Kluyveromyces lactis: one gene and its partners. The protein of the gene in region 5 interacts with the protein of the main gene of each other region in a biochemical or structural test. Links are inferred from orthologs where the notes say so. Each region holds a gene or a part of one and is shown on either strand. Other genes may lie near its edges.

Evidence for each region.
Region 1: the proteins of CDC48 (region 5) and KLLA0_F01298g form a complex in vitro, tested with the Saccharomyces cerevisiae proteins (2 studies listed by BioGRID). The link is inferred for Kluyveromyces lactis from reciprocal best matches to the Saccharomyces cerevisiae genes CDC48 and UBX7.
Region 2: the proteins of CDC48 (region 5) and OTU1 form a complex in vitro, tested with the Saccharomyces cerevisiae proteins (3 studies listed by BioGRID). The link is inferred for Kluyveromyces lactis from reciprocal best matches to the Saccharomyces cerevisiae genes CDC48 and OTU1.
Region 3: the proteins of CDC48 (region 5) and DOA1 form a complex in vitro, tested with the Saccharomyces cerevisiae proteins (4 studies listed by BioGRID, with this or other methods). The link is inferred for Kluyveromyces lactis from reciprocal best matches to the Saccharomyces cerevisiae genes CDC48 and DOA1.
Region 4: the proteins of CDC48 (region 5) and WSS1 form a complex in vitro, tested with the Saccharomyces cerevisiae proteins (2 studies listed by BioGRID, with this or other methods). The link is inferred for Kluyveromyces lactis from reciprocal best matches to the Saccharomyces cerevisiae genes CDC48 and WSS1.
Region 6: the proteins of CDC48 (region 5) and CUZ1 form a complex in vitro, tested with the Saccharomyces cerevisiae proteins (3 studies listed by BioGRID). The link is inferred for Kluyveromyces lactis from reciprocal best matches to the Saccharomyces cerevisiae genes CDC48 and CUZ1.

Annotation. Positions count from the first base shown.
Region 1 is NC_006042.1:120,601-123,669, reverse strand, and holds KLLA0_F01298g (UBX domain-containing protein), read right to left. Parts: upstream 1,683-3,069; coding exon 501-1,682; downstream 1-500. Other genes in the region: phosphatidic acid-binding protein CHM7, read left to right, coding at 1-393; serine/threonine protein kinase CHK1, read left to right, coding at 2,110-3,069. UniProt on the Saccharomyces cerevisiae protein: Involved in CDC48-dependent protein degradation through the ubiquitin/proteasome pathway.
Region 2 is NC_006040.1:484,474-487,212, reverse strand, and holds OTU1 (ubiquitin-specific protease OTU1), read right to left. Parts: upstream 1,461-2,739; coding exon 501-1,460; downstream 1-500. Other genes in the region: BUD20 (Bud20p), read left to right, coding at 1-334; RFU1 (Rfu1p), read left to right, coding at 1,947-2,516. UniProt on the Saccharomyces cerevisiae protein: Hydrolase that can remove conjugated ubiquitin from proteins and may therefore play an important regulatory role at the level of protein turnover by preventing degradation.
Region 3 is NC_006038.1:1,263,418-1,267,236, reverse strand, and holds DOA1 (Doa1p), read right to left. Parts: upstream 2,622-3,819; coding exon 501-2,621; downstream 1-500. Other genes in the region: YRA2 (Yra2p), read right to left, coding at 127-168; phosphatidylinositol-3-phosphatase SAC1, read left to right, coding at 2,937-3,819. UniProt on the Saccharomyces cerevisiae protein: Ubiquitin-binding protein involved in protein ubiquitination, sorting and degradation. Acts as a ubiquitinated substrate-recruiting adapter for chaperone ATPase CDC48 by binding mono- or polyubiquitin chains.
Region 4 is NC_006042.1:2,579,010-2,581,528, reverse strand, and holds WSS1 (metalloendopeptidase WSS1), read left to right. Parts: upstream 1-1,287; coding exon 1,288-2,019; downstream 2,020-2,519. Other genes in the region: KLLA0_F27885g (uncharacterized protein), read right to left, coding at 91-861; KLLA0_F27841g (uncharacterized protein), read right to left, coding at 2,417-2,519. UniProt on the Saccharomyces cerevisiae protein: Metalloendopeptidase that acts selectively on DNA-binding proteins. DNA is needed to bring the protease and substrates together to enable proteolysis.
Region 5 is NC_006042.1:553,099-557,293, forward strand, and holds CDC48 (AAA family ATPase CDC48), read right to left. Parts: upstream 2,801-4,195; coding exon 308-2,800; downstream 1-307. Other genes in the region: HNT1 (adenosine 5'-monophosphoramidase), read right to left, coding at 3,442-3,836, 3,985-4,036. UniProt on the Saccharomyces cerevisiae protein: ATP-dependent chaperone which probably uses the energy provided by ATP hydrolysis to generate mechanical force to unfold substrate proteins, disassemble protein complexes, and disaggregate protein aggregates.
Region 6 is NC_006040.1:935,604-938,175, reverse strand, and holds CUZ1 (Cuz1p), read right to left. Parts: upstream 1,314-2,572; coding exon 501-1,313; downstream 1-500. Other genes in the region: GPA2 (guanine nucleotide-binding protein subunit alpha), read left to right, coding at 2,438-2,572. UniProt on the Saccharomyces cerevisiae protein: Promotes efficient arsenite-induced clearance of stress granules (SGs). May have a role in the ubiquitin-proteasome system (UPS) protecting cells from metalloid-induced proteotoxicity.

The DNA of each region.
Region 1 (3,069 bases), about 430 kb from region 5:
TTAAAACAAGGCAGTACCGCTTTGAAGGCTATCAATTCACAACTTTTAGATGAAGATTCTATTTCAAACATATTAGATGATTTCCAAGAAAATACAGAGAAGCAAGACCGTATTCATAATTTGTTAGTAGGAGAGTCGGTTTCCGACAATGATGCTCTTGAAGAAGAATTGTCACTGTTAGAGAAGGAGCTATCAACAGAGGATACAAAAGAGAAGGAGAAAAAGAAGATCGAAGAACAAAAATCTGCAGCACCTTTGGAATCTGGCTCAACAGAAGATTTGATAAAGAAACTTGGATCCTTGAGGGTATCGAGCAGGGACTCTCCTCGTGCAGAGAAGACGGAAGTGAAGGAACCGAAAAAGGAAGAGATGACCGAGAAACTGTTGGCCTAATTCTTCCGATAAGAGTGATTGCTCATATTTGGTATTAATATGTATATTTAATTCGTTCATGCATACATATGATATTTAACATAAAGGCGATTCATAAATCAGGTGTGCTATCTGCTGTTGTCGTCTGAGACATGGCCGTAATGTATAGAAGATGGAGAGACAGCTCTTGAGGGTATCGATGCATCAGAGTGTACCAGACGAGGGGAAGATAAGGGAGAAACATATCTAGATGAAGCTTGAGATGTTAATGCTTCAGCAGGTTCAGGAATATTTTGATCAACAACCGTTGATTTACCGTACCACCAGGACGTCACGTTCTGATACATTTTCCCAAGCAAACCTGGTCCTTCTACATCTGCAATCTTACGAGAATATGTATGCTTTTCCAAAGGCTTCAAGATTAATGCAGATCTTGGAGTAAGCTCCAGAGCTTTCAAAGATAGTAATTCTTGTGATTCTGTGAAAGTTTCACGTGGAATACTTCGATGGAACTGGTACGGACCATCCTTATCTGTCCTATTGGCATCCACCCAAGTCCTTACATCGTTTAAAGTTTGAGACGAATCGAAATCGTTTTTCAATGTCTTACCGTCTGTTAATCTTATAAGCAAGGTGCACACTGCTGCGTTTATTATATCTCTGTTTTTAATATTATCGTGAATGGGTACAGCCAATACTTCATTGATGTGTTCCTTAGTATGATTTGGAGATGATGACGATAATCTTCGTTGCTTCATTTCTTCACGGTCCGCTTTCATCAATCTAACAATACGTTCTCTTTCCTGTTGTTCTGTCAACTGGTGCTTCTTGGCCTTTATTTGGTACTCCATCAATTTCGCATTTTGTGACAGACAGCTACCGGACCTGGCGCCGGTATCACCAGCGGCACCAACGGTATTGGATGCATCAACGGCATCCGTTTCAGAGATTCTCCTCTTGCTTTTACCAACTGCCCGGATCAACCTAGTAGCAAATCCGTCCATGTCCAACTGATCTGGATTTATCATCTCCACTATTTGTCCCTTAGCAATACAATAAACGCTAGGAACCTTCACATCCGGGAATATTTGCTCAAAGTAACCCATTTCCCTGCTTCCAGCAGCTAAACGTAACCAAACGCACGAATCCTTCAACTGCTCCCCTACAAGTGGTGTAAACCACGACTCAAACCACGAATTATCTCCGCCCGTAGTATAAACCAATAACGCCTTGTTCTCTCGCAATGATTCTTGTACCGCATTTTCCACAGAGGAAACAAAATGCGTATCCAGTGTATCCATCGTATTCATATTTGCCTAATCTTACACTTACCACTCCTAAAAAGCTCACCACTGCTTCGTTGCTTCTATCAACAGTATCGGATTTGTTTATTGTTCACTGATTAAACTATAAACGTAGTAAAACCCCTTTCAATGTACGTTTTTATAAATGCAAAGAAATGACAGAAACTAATGACTATCGCAGATCTGATCAGAAAAGAAAAACAATAGTTTTATGATGATACTTATGGGGAAAACGGGATTTATATACGAGTCTCCGACGTGTTATCCTAGGTAAATCACTTGGGGTTCAGTTAGGACGGTTGGATGATATTTTGAGCACATCAGTTGCGTAAATATTGAATGTGCGTTTGGCTGATATAGCTGGAGATTTCTGAGATACGAACCGACAAGAACAAAAAAGAAGTAAAAGAAGAACACTTCGATTGATGTATTGATGAGCTTTTCACAGATAGCTCAGCTCCCTCATATTGATGGATTACAACTAGGAAGAACAATTGGGAAGGGCTCCTTTGCCTTTGTGAAGAGAGCTAGTTTAGAAGTTGATCCGTCCACTGTAATTGCTGTCAAATTCATACATCTTCCTTCATGTGAGAAACAAGGTATGAGTCAGGAAGATGTGTTGAGGGAAGTTAAGTTACATTCTAGATGCTCTAATTTTGTTAATGTGCTAAAGGTTATAGATTGCAATCTTTCTGATCCGTTTCTTTGGATAGCCATGGAACTGGCTGAAGGTGGTGATCTTTTCGATAAAATCGAACCTGACATTGGAGTCGACTCGGAAGTCGCCCAATTCTATTATAAACAACTTATAAAAGCTATAAGTTATCTGCATGATACCTGTGGTGTTGCCCATAGGGATATCAAGCCGGAAAATATCCTATTGGATAAAGATGGGAATTTAAAACTTGCAGATTTTGGGCTAGCATCGCTGTTCAAGAGAAAAGATGGATCAAAACGTATTTCTAGAGATCAACGAGGAAGTCTTCCCTACATGGCACCGGAAATAATATACTGTGATGGGTACTATGCTGATATGACAGATATTTGGTCCATTGGTGTTCTATTATTCGTTTTGTTGACTGGAGAAACGCCTTGGGAACTTCCTCACGAGGACGATGAAACGTTTAGAAACTTTATTAAAGGCGAAGGAAAGCTAGATCAGGGATCTTGGCTGAAGATAGATTTCGTTGAATTGAATCTCTTGAGAAAAATATTACAACCAGATCCAGAGAAAAGAGCTTCTTTGGATACTTTACGGAAACATACATGGTATCAAACAAATCCGAAATTTGCAGATGAAAATGGCCTTTGTAAAAATCCTTCTTTGCTTGCAGAAAAATTACTATCAAAGCTTAAAGTTTCTCTATCAGATGCCGATTATTTATCTTCTACG
Region 2 (2,739 bases), on a different chromosome or scaffold from region 5:
TTTCGAAACTGCATATGCCTTAAAGACTCATTTGAAGACTAAAATCCATAAGAGAAGGGTGAAGGAATTGAAAGGTGTTCCATACACTCAACAGGTAGCAGATGCTGCTGTTGGGTGTGGTGTGAACTCGTTCTTGGCTAGAGTAGAGCAGATCAAATCTCAAATTGGTCCTCAAAAGGAGGAAAACGAAAAGATATTAACCTCACATCTTGATACCACTTTGGCCAACGTCAGCACAACAGAATCCACTTTGCCATACCTTGATGGTGCAGTACAGGAACAAGCACAGCAAGAAGCTGTAGTTGCTGAAGGGGAAATTCAAATGGCTGATTAGATGCAGGAAAACATTTTCACTTCCTGTGCTTTTTCTTCAATGTATATTATCATTTAACACAAGAGAAATACACCGAAAGTGCAATTATATAAACTGGTAGATATACAGACGCTCATATATTAAGTGCTATTTCTTTCTTCAATATTATTCAATGGTTATATTTGTTTTATTTTTGCCTAAAATCAACATGACCAGTTTTCTCAGCGTGCTTGCTCACCTCTCGTTCTCCAATCAAGGTGGTGCCACAAGTATTGCATAAAATTGAATCTCTTGCAGTATTGAAAGACTTCCCCTCTCTTTTCATCTTCTTCGCGATCTCCTGTGTTTTTTGTAAAAGGAATTCAGTATCTTTCTCTCCGATGTCAAATACAGTTTGATGCTGAGTTCCATCAAATATCTCTACCGTATCATAATGAACTCCGTTATATGCTATAATAATAAATTTATCGTATAAATCCTCGTTGAATTTCTCGAATTTACGTGCATCCACATCGAGCACGTATATCGCATACTGAAAATGTTTCGATAATATTGCAATCTCGATACCACCTCCCCATGAAGAATGTTTCATTATCCACTCACTGTATTCATGATTCGGCCTGCCAAGAATAGCATCTGAATATTCAAATGGGTCTCTCCGGACTTCTGACGCCACAACTCCCCGTAGTTCTGATGACAGTGAAATGTTCTTGTAGACAGCATAGGATATAGCATGGAATAGACACGAATTGTCATCGGGCACTTCATGGAGTTGTAGTGCTCTAGTTGAATCTATCTGTACACTTTCAGATTTACCAGTGGGCTTCTTTTTCACTTCTTTATTGGGTAGTGTATTTGCTTTACTGGCATTAATACTTGGTTGTGTTCTGGTGGCAATAGCTTCATCGGCTTTACTCAGGCTCACTATGATCCGTTCCCCATTGCATATTCCTAGCTCTTCAAGTGTCTTAGCCTCATTCCCCTGAAAAAGTATACTCTGAGGTGGGAATCCGTACCGCATACTCTGCAATGATAGATCATCTTCATATGAGGACAGAATGAGTCCCTGAAATGTTTCCAAATCACATTCGGCTTCGACAGTTAAAACTTTGTCGCTCTTCCCAGAAATAGATACCTTGACCCTCATCTGCGAATAGGAAATATATTAAGTCTCGTTTAGCGGTGGTTATTCGACAGATATATATGGAAATGCTATGGCTATCCTCTTGGGGATGGATAGATAGTCTGTTGTTCTATCCGATTTTCCCCTTATTGCTTAGGCACTTAGAGGATTCCAAAAACAGATCACATGCTCAAGTGAAATTAACCCGTACATCACAGCAAACATTTTTCTTTGCATGCAAGAACAGTAAACGTCAAAACCACAACGAGATGAGATGAGATGACAGGTTGAGTGCATGAAGAAATAATGGAACTTTTAGTTTATTGGCACCAGTGGTGGATCAGCTGCTGTTGGGCAAGCGTTGTGTCAGCTTGAGTTATAGATGCGATTTGGAAAATAGGAGAAGAACCCGTTAAACTGAATAATCTTTTTAAATCCCAGCTTTTTCCTTTTACTCGAAAGAATATACGGTACCCGAATTAATTAAACACTGCTACTCCATCTGATACAATGAAATCCAGTTCACACTTAAAGCAAGAAGCTCTTAATTATAGATTCAATTCAAATGTGCCTCTGAAATTGTATCTGACAACTTGCATTAGCATTGTCGAGGAAGCTCAAAATAGTGCCAGGTGCAATAATATGGAGCGCGCATATCTTCTTTATATTAGATACTTAGATCTTTGTCTGAATAGACTTGTGCATCATTCAGAAGTTAACACATCAGTGGAATCGTTATACAAAAGAGAATACTTCCAACTGCTGAAGTTGGAAGTCCCTGCTATCATGAAGATTACTGAGGAATTGAAAATCAAAATAGATGCAAGATACAAGTCATTGGCAAACAATGTTGCGACATCGACCTACGTGAGATCGCCGGCTGTCATGACGACAAATCCTTCGGATGAAATTAATCTTCCGAGTTCCTTTGATGAACAAAAATTCAACCAATCTATAAGTTGGTTTAATCACAGTTCAAAGCATTTTTCAGCACAGTCAGACTCTAACAATGAATATCCCGAATTACCAGAACTCAATGCGACATCCACGTCGGTCACATATACCATGCCAGCATTATAGATTTATCTTTACTAATTTAGCATCTCCTTGCATATAGTCACCTATACACTAATTTTACCTTGTTTTCCGCGTTTAACATTTACGCATTTCAGTTTCATCATCAGTCATTACAGATATTCATAAATGTTACAAATACTATGAGAAAAATGTTATTACCTTTGAACTAGATACCAGATACAGTGTTTCGGATGATGAAGACTAGAACCTCTCATTTCATGTTAGG
Region 3 (3,819 bases), on a different chromosome or scaffold from region 5:
CATACTGCATGGTGTTGACGTGTCTGGTTCATATTAGTTTGAATTTGTTGAAATGAGTTAGTAAAATGTTCGGTTTGCTTCTGATGTAGAAATCTGTAACTGGAATGAAAACTGGTTAGAACATACTTTTCCTTCAGCAATGCTCTCTAAGTCCCGCTCAAAAGACATTTTAAAACGTGTGATTGTTTTTTATTGGTCAGCTAGTGCCTCAATTGAACTTATTCACCCTTGAAATTGTCAATCTTTCGTTCAAACCTTTACTTACATGTTAAATGTAAACTTTGACTAAACTTTCCTTTATAATTTTTCAAGAAATGCTTATGTACATGAATAGGATTAAAGAAGAGACGAGCGCTTCAACTACTCTAATGATGATTGAATTATGATCCACTCACTAGCATTGACAGAACACCACCATATTTGATAACTTGATAGCAAATTAACCCGGAGAAGTTGTATCTTTATGTATGTATGTAATATTTAATGATCAAAGACTACCATCATCTAAATAAGTCTTCGAATACATCTTCGAATCTACCTATCTTACCGTATTTATCCTTAGCTCTGATAATCCAGGAGATGGATTTAGCGTATTGATGTAACGATGGTTCTACAGTGGCTAGATTTCCGTAAGCGATTAGGAGTCTATATGTAGCTTCTTCACTGTTGAGGAACAGAGATGATGATCCGTATTTTGTATTAAGTACATCAGCAATGATTGGAAGAATTTGTTGATCATTGGATTCCAGGATGTATACGGTATAATTGAAGAGTAGAGTGGCGATTGCAATAGCCAAGTTGTCTTTTTGTTGAGGTTTGCAATTTGGATAATCACCGTCCAATATTTGGAACACGGAATCGTACAATGCTGGCTTACCCATGAGCTCTTTCCCCCAAATTTGGTTAGAGAAACAGTTGGCTAACATTCTTGTAGTTAGCATTGTAGAGATTGGATTTTCTTGTGAAAGTCCTTCCTCGATAAACTCACTCATGTCGTCACTTGAAGGTAACTTTGGGGTTAGAATTCTAACTATATCGTATGCGGGTGTTTTGTTCCCCTTCCATTGATTTTTAATGATGCATGCATGCGCATACAATAGTTCAATGTTGTTTTCCACATCGTGCAAAGCTGAACCGATTGCCCCAAGTGCGTCATCGTCAAAGGTATTTTCTGCCTGATTAAGTTTCACAATACCATTGAACAAAGAATCTGGGTTGAAAGATGTAAGTTTTAGGTACTTCTTCACGGGGAATATCTTATAATTGACGTCTGCATGTCTGGAAATATCAGAAGGTTGATCTAATGTAGTCGACTTAGTATTTGTCACAATGAATTGGACAATTTGATCCTTATAACTTGTTGGCAACTCGTATCTAATTATGAATTTATCTGCAACATCGTACGGATTATCGTTTGCATTGACGGGTAGTTTCAACGGTGGTTTGCCTTCTTCGATGTCAACATCAAACACGAAATCGTAATTCTTACCCTCATATTCAACCTTATTATCGCTACCGGCAGATGAAACAACGTCTCCGACTTTACTCCAAGAACCTCCCGTGAACTGATGTGCCTCTATAACACCATTCTCATTCTTGACAACAACAATCTGACCCTCCTTTTCACCCGGCTTCTGAAGCACTGACGATGGTTTCAACTTCGATTCGTCAAACCCCATCGTCTGTGCGTTAACGGCAGATTCCTCCACTTGTTTTTGCAAAGATGTGATCTCTTCCTGGGATGCAAGTCTTTGCTCATTCTCAGTAAAGATTCTGATGATTTTGTCACTGCTACCAACAACAATATCGCCATTGGGTAACACATCGACGGTCCAAATGGAGATCGCTGGTAAAGTAATGACTTGTTTGATAGTTCCATCCATGTTCCAAATACGAACGGTTCTATCCTCACCACAAGACACAATATCTCCGCTTGGCAGTTGTTTCACAGCATAGACAAAGCTTTCATGACCTATAAACTCGTGCAAAATACCGCCTTCCAAGTTGGATAGCTTCAAAGTACCATCGTTGGAACAACTAACAAAATGCTTTCCATCGTCAAGAATACATATATTTCTAACCACATCGGAATGTAACTTATCAAAAGTCTTAGCCAGCGTACCATTTTTCCATAACTTAACTGTAGTATCTGCTGACGCTGTAAGGACGCTCCCATCGTTCAAGAGCTTGGCATCCCATACAGAGGCCGAATGTCCCTTAAGTTCCCATTTTACAATCCCATTAGTCCACACTTTAGCAGTCTTGTCCCAAGAGGAGCTCACTAGGCTTTCAAAGTCTCCAGAAAGTGAGCAAATGTTCCCCTCATGGCCTACTAAAGTATAAACCGGTTCTTGCCCCAGAGCAAGCAACGGAGACACACCGTAAATAATCTTTTCTTGGCCACCGCAAAATAGAACACACTGCTTAGCATCGTACGTCAAACTGTTCACAAACTTTTCACTGCTAAACGCAATAGAACCTTCCCAATTCCCATCCGCATCCAAATTCCATATCCTAACTGTACCATCTCTAGAGGCACTTGCCACCTGAGTCGTACTTAAAGAAACCACACTCCTCACGTCCTGTGTGTGACCACGCAATTGTGCGCTAAGTTGGTACATCTCTCACTTAAAATTGGTACCAGTACAATTACAACTATTAGACCTATCAAATAAAATCACCTGAACCTGATTAAAATACTTTGTATACTTGGAAAGCCCTGTTTTATTCAGTAGTTGCTCTTTCCCACGCTAATACCTTTATTTTTGACATTCGCTTAGTTGTTTAAATCAAACTTTCGAAATAAACAAATTCAGTTACGCAACTTTATCATGAATTAGTTTATCAAGTACACGAGACACGCCAACAGAGGATCCAATTGTACCTGAATTTGCTGAATCGTATTCAATTCAGTGCTCTGAGAATCTCCTTAGAAAATGAGAGGTCCGTTACTTGTGTGCCAGGAGAAGGATAGGGTCCTGTTAAAGGTAGCCAGTTCTTCTTCGAAGAACGACGCGGTTCTAAATGTGTCAACACACGAGAACGAGGTGAACGTTTTGGGCAGTACTGAGTTTCCTGTTCGTGGAAATATCATGAAGGTGGCTGCGTTGATCGGTATCATCAAGTTGAAGTTCGGTAAGTACGTGATTATTGCCAATAGAGTCGAGGAAGCTGGTTGTTTGAACGGTCATAATGTGTACAAGGTGGCTGAGCACACGATTATCAGCGTTGATAAGAAGCAGAGACCAGATTCTGATGAGTCTCAGTATTTGCAGTTATTGGAACAGCATTTAGCTGGTGCGACTCTGTTCTATTCGTATGGTTACGATTTGACAAACAGTGCTCAAAGGAACGAAGAACTAGAGTCATCAGCTGTGTCGTGGGAACAAGCGGACAGGAGGTTCTTTTGGAACTATTACGTGACAGAATCCTTGCAGAAGCTTGCTAAAGTTGATGACAGGGTATCAGACTTCATTATTCCTATGATCTATGGGTATGCTAAGGTTGTTGATACTGTTTTCCATGCGACTCCGATTTCGATTGGATTGATCACGAGAAGGAGTATATTTAGGGCCGGAACTAGATATTTCCGCAGAGGCATTGACGAACACGGTAATGTTGGTAACTTCAACGAGACAGAGCAGGTGCTGTGTGTTCAAAAGCCAATGAAGGATGGCTATCACTTCTTCTCTTTTTTACAAACGAGGGGTTCCGTGCCAGTTTATTGGGCAGAGTTGAACAATTTAAAGTACAAGCCGAACTTGTTGTTGGCTGAGAACAGCTCGTTAGATGCAACCAAGAAGCATTTCGATGAACAAA
Region 4 (2,519 bases), about 2.0 Mb from region 5:
ATAGGATTAGTATTATAAACTTTAGGAAAGAAGATGTTCGTATAAATATTGTGACATGAGGTAATTGCCGCTGAACTTATACATATATATTTATTGACGGTATAAAAATTTTCCTAGTCTTGTGAAGAATAGTAGACCAAGGAAGTAGAAATCAATGAAATATAACAACTGTGCGCTATCGGTAATGTCTTGATAGCAGGTCACGCAAGTGACTAAACCAATAGCCAAACCAGATGCTAGCATAGTAAATGAGCTGTCAAAGAACAACCAAAGGATAATGTTGAGTAAGAACCATGCACCACTTGCTTGTAAACTGGAAGACCATTCAATTCTACGAATCCCAAAAGAAACACCTAACATGGCATTTGTAGATCTTAAAACACTAGAAATAGTGGTTGGTTGCCGATCAAAGGTTCCAAGTATCCAGTTTACAAATGGAACGATACTTCCGAAAAGTATACCTTCGATGGCGTAAAATGTCCAAGGTGGTAAATACCCAAAACTTAATGATTGTGCAATAGTGGCACCCAATAATAACGGGCGGGAAGTAAAGTCATTATGCAATTCATGATTATCATGTAAGTTCTTTGATAATTCATGATAAGCGATGCCTGCTATCGATAGTACAACCCATGCTAAAGCCACATTGACAGAACTAGGGATTTTCTTAGCACGTTGTACTATTCCATTTTCTAATTCTTTACCACTTGATGCTTTTTTAACTTCTTCATAGATCTCTGAGTCCTCGCTCTTGAGCACATCAGCATCATATAGTCCATACAATGCAGGCTTCGTCAACAAGTTGGACGACTCTGAGCTTCCGTACTTTGATCCCGTGCTATTCGACGCGCTTTCTGTCATGTTTTTGATGAACGACAATAATTTAGTTTATTACCAATAAATATATTGTTTCACAGGTCAATTAAATCACTGTGGAACTGTACGTAAGCTTGAGTTGTATTGGTGGATCCTAAAATCGATTGGAAATCTCAGGGTGTGTGGACACTTTAGAATAAATTAGAAAGGAATGTGGTTTGTACGATATGTATTTTTAAAAAATTTAGTTGAAATAGTGGACTATCGATTTTTGTTTTAAGAATCGTATTTAAACATTTCAAAAGAACCTCCATTTGGAGACACATCAAACGAAGAGACCAAAGGAAAAATTGGATTTTAGTATTGGATACTACTGCGGATGATAACAGTAGAATATCCTATGGATATGAACTAACTAAAAAAGTTGCGCTATTGAAAATTAATGACAGCCTATATACGGACAACGCACAGATGGTTCCTCCGATACAAAAGAATCCGCATGTAGGAAGCATTGCAGTATTGCAAACAAAACCAGGAAAAAACGATGCATTAAACATATTGAAAAGGGTCGCTCATAACGTATCGTATCTGATGAAAGAGGAAAGGTTCAAAGTAAGACAATTAGTTGAGTTTTATCCACGGAATCGATCACTTTTAGGTATGAACGTGAACAAAGGCATGAAGATCATGTTGCGGCTTAGAGACCCATTAGACGAATATAAATTTCTACCGATAGAATCTATTATGGGTACCATGCTTCATGAGCTTACCCATAATTTACATGGTCCTCATGACCGAAAGTTTTACGAAAAGCTGGATCAATTATCGGGAAGACAATGGACCATTGAACAAATGGGACTTTACGACAGCTTTCTCGGCACCGGGAAAAGATTGGGTAGCAAACCGATGGGGTCGATTATTATTGGAAAGACATTAGAAAGAGGTAAAGGAAGAAGACTAGGTGGTACGACACCTGGAACAGGACCAAGAAGGAATGCTAGAGAAATGGCAGCAATCGCGGCAGATAAAAGGGCAGCGGATAACAAAACATGCTGCAACTCAAATGATCAGAAAAACTATATGCCTGTTCAAGAAGATCTAGTAATAGAACTTCTTGATGATGATTCAAACGAAGAGAATCATAATATTGAAGTCACCAAGTTAGAAACCGCTGGGGGTATAGAAATTATGGATTTGACGTGAACTGCAACATCTGAGATCATAAAGAGATGAAATTAGATAACCAAGGAATGTTGGTTTACATATTCATTATCTTATTACTTCCCTACTTGGAAACCTTGACAAAGAAAAGATTACAACAGTAATTTTATTTAGTTATAAAGTATTTGAATGTCAACAGTAATGAAGCCACCGCTGCCCAACCAAATAGAAAACAAATTACATGAGGCCGTCGGGAAACTAAACAAAAGATGTATGGAAGTGCCACATAAATCTTTTTTAGATTTGAATTCACTTAAGGTTAGAAACGAAAACATGATTAAGATTGGTGTCAACCGTAAAAAGATCATTGATCTAAAGAATAACAAATGGCAATCGGTTAAAGAACATGGAATATCAATACGATCATAGGAGTCAACAGTCACCCTAAAATTGAACGCAAGCAGATAATAATAGACACAATTTTGATTGAGGCAGCCATTAAGGAAACTGATCCCCTCAACTTATCATTTTGTCTACCATTA
Region 5 (4,195 bases):
GTATTCATTAATATAATTTGGTTTTACTTCGGAGACCCTGTATTGCTTTGCCTGGCGAAAATATACCATTGCACTACTAGGTCGAATTAAAGATGAATTCAAGACCCAAAATTGGAAGGGATAGCTAAGACTGATGAATCTTTTAACCATATTAAAACCAGTTATCTCAAATATCCTGTTACACGTGATTAATAGATAATATTTAATCTCTACGTAAATTTAGCAACAAGTATTCCTCTGTATTGTAATTTATTACATTTCATTTTGCATCGAAAAAGACCTGTTATGTTTTGTGAAGGTTATGTATCTAACTGTACAAATCATCGTCATCTTCACCAGCGGCATCTCCGAAAGCTGCACCAGAACCCTCAGCACCAGCTTGAGTTGCGGCAGCACCTGAATCATCACCAAACGAGAAGTTGCCGAATTGTCCTCTGGATGCCTTCATCTGTTGAGCATAAGCTTCGTAACGACGAAGCTCAGTATCTGTAACAGAACGCTTGGCTGTTTTCATAGCTTCAGTGAAGTGTTCTTTGGTAATGAATGGAACTGGATCCTCTTGTTGAACGTCTGACATTTCAACGTCTTCTTCTGTCTTGACCTTCTCGGTTTCTTCTGCACCTTCTTCTTTCTTGACAACTTCTGCACGTTTTTGTGCCTCGATGGAATCTTTAATGGCAAACTTCGCAGCTCTCTGTACGATATATAATAAATCTGCACCAGAGAATCCCTGTGTAGCTTGAGCGATGGTCTTTAGATCTAGTCCTGGTTCTAATGGTGTATTTCTTAATTGGGCTGATAGAATAGATAATCTTCCTGTTTCGTCTGGTAATGGAACGTAGATCAATTGATCCAATCTACCAGGTCTTAAAATAGCTGGATCGATTTGATCTGGTCTGTTAGTGGCACCAATAACGAAAACGTTCTTCTTGGCGTTCATACCATCCATTTCGGTCAATAATTGGTTAACCACTCTGTCAGATGCACCACCTGCATCACCTAAAGAACCACCACGAGCCTTAGCAATGGAGTCCAATTCATCTAAGAAAACGACAGTTGGGGCTGCAGCTCTGGCTTTGTCGAAAATATCACGGATATTGGATTCGGACTCACCGTACCACATACTTAATAACTCAGGACCCTTGACCGAAATGAAATTAGCAGACACTTCGGTGGCGACAGCCTTAGCTAACAAAGTCTTACCAGTACCAGGAGGACCGTAGAACAACACACCCTTCGATGGTGACAAACCAAACTTGGTGTATTGATCTGGATGCAAGACTGGATATTCGACGGTTTCCTTCAATTCATCCTTAATTTCATCCAAGCCACCGATATCATCCCATGTGACATTAACAGATTCTACAACGGTTTCACGCAATGCGGATGGGTTGGAGTTACCCAATGCAAATCTGAAGTTGTCCATAGTAACTCCTAATGAGTCCAACACTTCGGCGTCAATTTCGTCTTCATCTAAGTCAATTAGGTCCATCTTTTCACGAATTTGTTGCATAGCAGCTTCAGAACATAGGGAGGCAATATCAGCACCAACATAACCATGGGTTTCAGCGGCCAACTTTTCTAAGTCGACGTCGTCAGCCAACTTCATATTTTTAGTGTGAATACGTAAGACTTCCAATCTACCAGTAACGTCAGGAACACCAATATCGACTTCTCTATCAAATCTACCGAATCTTCTCAAAGCAGGATCGATAGAATTGGGTCTATTGGTGGCTGCAATGACAACGATGTTGGATCTAGCCTTCATACCATCCATTAGAGTCAATAATTGAGAAACGACTCTTCTTTCCACTTCACCGTTAGTCTTGTCACGCTTTGGTGCAATAGAATCAATTTCATCGATAAAAATAATGGCCGGAGCATTCTTTTCTGCTTCTTCGAAAGCCTTTCTCAAGTTGGATTCAGATTCACCAGCCATCTTGGACATGACTTCTGGACCATTGATTAAGAAGAAAAATGCACCTGTCTCGTTAGCCACAGCTCTGGCCATTAGAGTTTTACCGGTACCTGGAGGACCGTACATCAAAATACCCTTCGGAGGTTTGATACCAATGGCCTTAAATAGTTGTGGGTGTCTCAATGGCAATTCGACCAATTCTCTAATTTGAGCCATTTGCTTACGACAACCACCAATATCATCATAACCGACTTCATTGATGTTATTTTCTTCATCTTCTCTGTTAATTGGCTCACCTTCACTATGAATGACAGTATCTTGGGCAACAACACCGTACTCTTCAGGCTCAACGTCTACGACCTTGAACTCTACTTGTCTCATACCACCTCTAACGATAAAGTGGTCACCTTTTCTAACCGGTCTATAAGCTTCGACAAAGTATGGCTTCAAGTACACATCAAATAGATTACCAGTCAACCCCTCGATGGTGTCAGCGATTGGCAACACTGAGATTCTGGAAGCATACTTGATATCGGTACATGGATGGATAGTGACCAAATCACCGAGTCTTATTCTCAAGTTGTTACGAATAACACGGTTTACTCTACAGACACCATCTTCCAGTTCGTCATCAATCATAACAATCAAAACGGTGTCCTTTCTCTTCTTACCCTTGACTAAAACGGTGTCACCACGGAACAATTGTAAAAGATCCATAGTGTTAGAATTGATAGCAATGATAGAATTGTCATCGTTAACTGCATCATCGACCAGTAACATGTTTTGCTTCTTCTTTCTTCTCAAGATGGCAGTGGCGGTAGCATCATCTGCGTCAGCTGCAGTGCCAGAACTATCTAACAATTTCTTATGTTCTTCTGGCATGTTCTCTTAATAACTGAGGTGAAAAGTTGTTTTAAAGATACTGTAATTCCTTCTGGTAGGATCCACGATGTAATTAAGCTCTTGGTAAACAGGATATGCAGGTTTCTTGATTAACTTCTGAAATTGGACCTTATTTCTTCTTATTTCAACCAAAAGACGGAAGATAAAACAAAAATTAAATAACTTGATCTAACCCCTAATCTGGTGATTCAATGATTCAATTAAAGGAGACAATTATTGTAAATCCCTGGTGAGTGCTTTATTTAATCTAGCGTTCACTTACTGGTGTTAATCCTGAAAATAACCTTCAAGGATCACCGAAAATAGTGTGCAATACTTATATATAATAAATCGCTTCCCTCTTTATAATCTAGAGATTTCAGAATTTGCCACCGGATATGTGAAATTTCGGCCGGGTAACAATATTTTTTCATCTCCTCTCTAAGAAGATCCCTCCCACAATGCGAATGAGCTATTGGATTCCTTATGTGAATGGTAAGTAGAAATTGGTACAGTAGGAAATATGTAGTTATAATATATATGAGACGATCTCAATGATCATCTTCGTTAGCTTCGTCAGCTTCGTCAGCTTCGTCATCTTCGTCATATCTTGGTCTCTTTCATTGCGAAAAAGATCGCGCTTAGGTTTCTAGTTTGGCAAGCAACTTTTTATGCATTTCACTCAGCTTAGCAAAATCAGTTTCCTGTGCAGGCCAACCTACGATTAATCCAGCATCCTTTGTTTTCTTTGGGATCAAATGGAAATGCACGTGATCTACTTCTTGATGGGCTATTCTACCGTTGTTTTGAAGGACATTGTACCCTGGACCATCAGGACCATCTTGGTCGAAGCCAATGGCTTTCACTAACTTCTTAGTAACTGGCAACAGGTCAGCTAAGTATTCATCTGGGATGTTGTGCAATTTCCCACCGTGGTGCTTTGGAATGATAAGAATGTGGTTCTCTTCAGTTGGTTGGATGTCAAGGAACGAGTAAGAATACTGAGTTTCAACCAATTTGAAAGAAGGGATTTCACCTGAAAGTACACCAGTAGTGGAATCTGTTAGTATTATAGTTCATAAGATCAAAGAGCTAGTCTAAGCCACTTGGGTGGTTGCGAGCATGCAAAAACCAAGGGGAGAAACAGATATTTGTTCTCACCTAACAATTTGAGGTTTACATACCTTTGATAATCTTGCAGAAAATACAAGCAGCGTCGTGGGCAACAGCACTCATTGGTATCGGCTTATTAAACGTTTGAATTCACACGTATCGGTACTTATTGCAATATTTCTTTCGACTGCGAAAATGTTGGAGAATCTGCAACTAATTGGAGTTCAGTCTTTTTTCATCATTATACATTTGTGTATTGGCCCTTATATATATGTTCTTATG
Region 6 (2,572 bases), on a different chromosome or scaffold from region 5:
TCGGAAATTGTATTTGTCACATAACGAGTCCTAGTGTAATTACGGCGAGTATTAATTGTCTTCTTGAGATGTCAGTATAATGCACAGAAGCAACTAGAAACAATGCTCGAGCGTACAAAGTCGATTGAGAGCCTACCTTAAAATCCCCAGCCACCAAATTATCTTGGTTTAGTCACCTTGACCGGGCCACTCTTTGGCAGATTAATACTTACGTTCTTTGTGAGAAATCACTGCGGCCGCAGGGTATTTCCAAATGTAAGAACCGTCCATATTTGCCGCAGTTGCTATTACCCGGATTTGTAGCTTGGGCGAAACGCACTCGGCTGGTACCATGTCTGTAGCTTGATGCAGTAATGTTTCGACAACTTAATCTGTCACGTGACAAGTGTCATTGTGTTTGACTGTAAGACGTAATTACGAAACTACATGAACTATGCTATAAGTAAAGACCAAAAGAATGTGCTATTTTATCCTTCAGATTCCATTACGCGGCGTTGCAATCATCGACCTAACCCTCTTACCAAATATAAAGTATCACCTTCCTGGATGGTGGCATTGACTCGCGCACTCGAGGGTAATAGATGCTGAGTAGAAGCATCACCTTTGTACAAAAATAACTTCTCATCTGTTGATATCGAATGGTCGATGTTTGAATTTTTCACGTTTAGCACAGATGCCAAGGAATCCAAAGCTCTTCCAATTGGCCACATCTTATTTATGAACACTTCATTCGCGATGGGTTTCTTATCCGAAGAGTCCGCCACCACGTAACACCATGCGTATATTCTATTTGCGACAGGGATAGAATCATCTCCCTTTGCAGTGCGCTTCATCTTAGTGACTTGTATTAGCTTATTGGCAGAAGAAAATTTGGTAGTAGATTTCTTACTCTCGAATAATTTACCGTTCTTGGCGAAAAAATGCCGTAGTTTATCGATAGCTACACGAGAACTGGAGGTTTTACTGTTGAAAAGCTTCGATTTTAGGTTATCTACCGGTGGTTTCGAGTTATCCTCTTGCATCATGGTCTTTATCCGATCTGGTGCTCTGGCAGGTAACAAAGATTGAAAGAAGCTACCACCATTGTCCTTCTTCGGAGTGACAGCAGCAGCAGCAGCAGCAGGAATACTAACTGTGACACTGCTGCGGCTATTCTTACCTATCTTCAGTGATTCACAGTGATGATCTTCCTTCAATCTATGGTTGGCACAAAAATCACCGTTGCAAGCAGAACAATGGAACGGTAGGAAATCAGTCTGTCGACAAAACGAACAGTGTGTGCCGACATCTAGCATACCAACTTCTTTAGTCATTGTTTATCAACTGTATTATTTCTTCTTTTAGCCCTTGATCAGTCTTGGTCCCGGACCTGGAGTTCTATAAAACACAAATAACACAAATCGATATCAAAGTGAGAAACTCATCCCAAGTGGCAAACAACCTGTGTATATTATCGGCCTTGCCAGGTGCTCTTTATATATATAAGCGATATGACAAATACGTCCCGCCATCCATATCATAGCCAGTGATGATCTCTGCCTTACTCATCTTCATTTTACACAAGTCTATGAGAGAATACTGTGGAAGATGCCAGCAAAATCACGTGACAAATGTATTTATAATATTCGGGTAACGAGTGTTCCTGTCTCAATGTGTCAATTACAGCTACTCTTAATAGTAACACAAACGGAGCTATTCCAATGGTCTTCTCTCCTATACAGTACATTCAGCCGAGGCTACAGGTTTATTCTTTACATAAATGTTGTTCTCCAGTGATCATGCTGGGTGTCTCCAGAAGTTTTTCCACTCGAGTTTCTAATCACCATGTAGAAACTGACATCTCTTCGAAAGGCTTGTCAGTCCCAATTGTAAAGAGTGTATATTCAGTTTCTACGAGAAGGGAAAACCACTTGGAAAATCCATCAGTTGGAATGGATAGCTGAGGTATTAATATTTTGCAATTTTTTGCATGTTCAAACTACCCACATAACGAGCATGGTATTTAAGGGAGCACAGTTCCAGCTGAAACAACTCGTAATAATAAGGATCTTAGTAATTCCTAGTTCCCCTTTCTTATATTTCAAATACTCCCTATATAATACCGACCAACTTCTGTCTGACAGCCGACAACAAAGTGGTCTACCGATTGCATATCACATCATTTTAACCACAGCGTATCCTTCACAAACCAGCGTAGAAACCAGTTTTCACCATTTTTTTCGTTTCTTTGAGCAGGTTAACATTATTGAAAAATCATATAACGTTTGATTTGAAAGAACTTTACGAAAGGAAAAGGACAGGGAAAATTCTAAGAACAGGTGTTGGTATATTCTGAAATAGAACGTCTAAGAAATCACTAAGTTTCCAACCAATTTAGGAAAGCTGAGCGACCATATTTGCATAGCGTGCTGGGAAAAGAAAAAGGTTAGCTGACGATATGGGTTTATGTGCCTCAAAGGATTCTCGGGAGTCGACTCACGATGGGGGTCCCAGAGTGAATCGTCCCGGTGCAAACGATGCTAACAGGCGGAATGATGTTAGGAAAGGAGCTGGTGACAAGAAGCAGGACAAG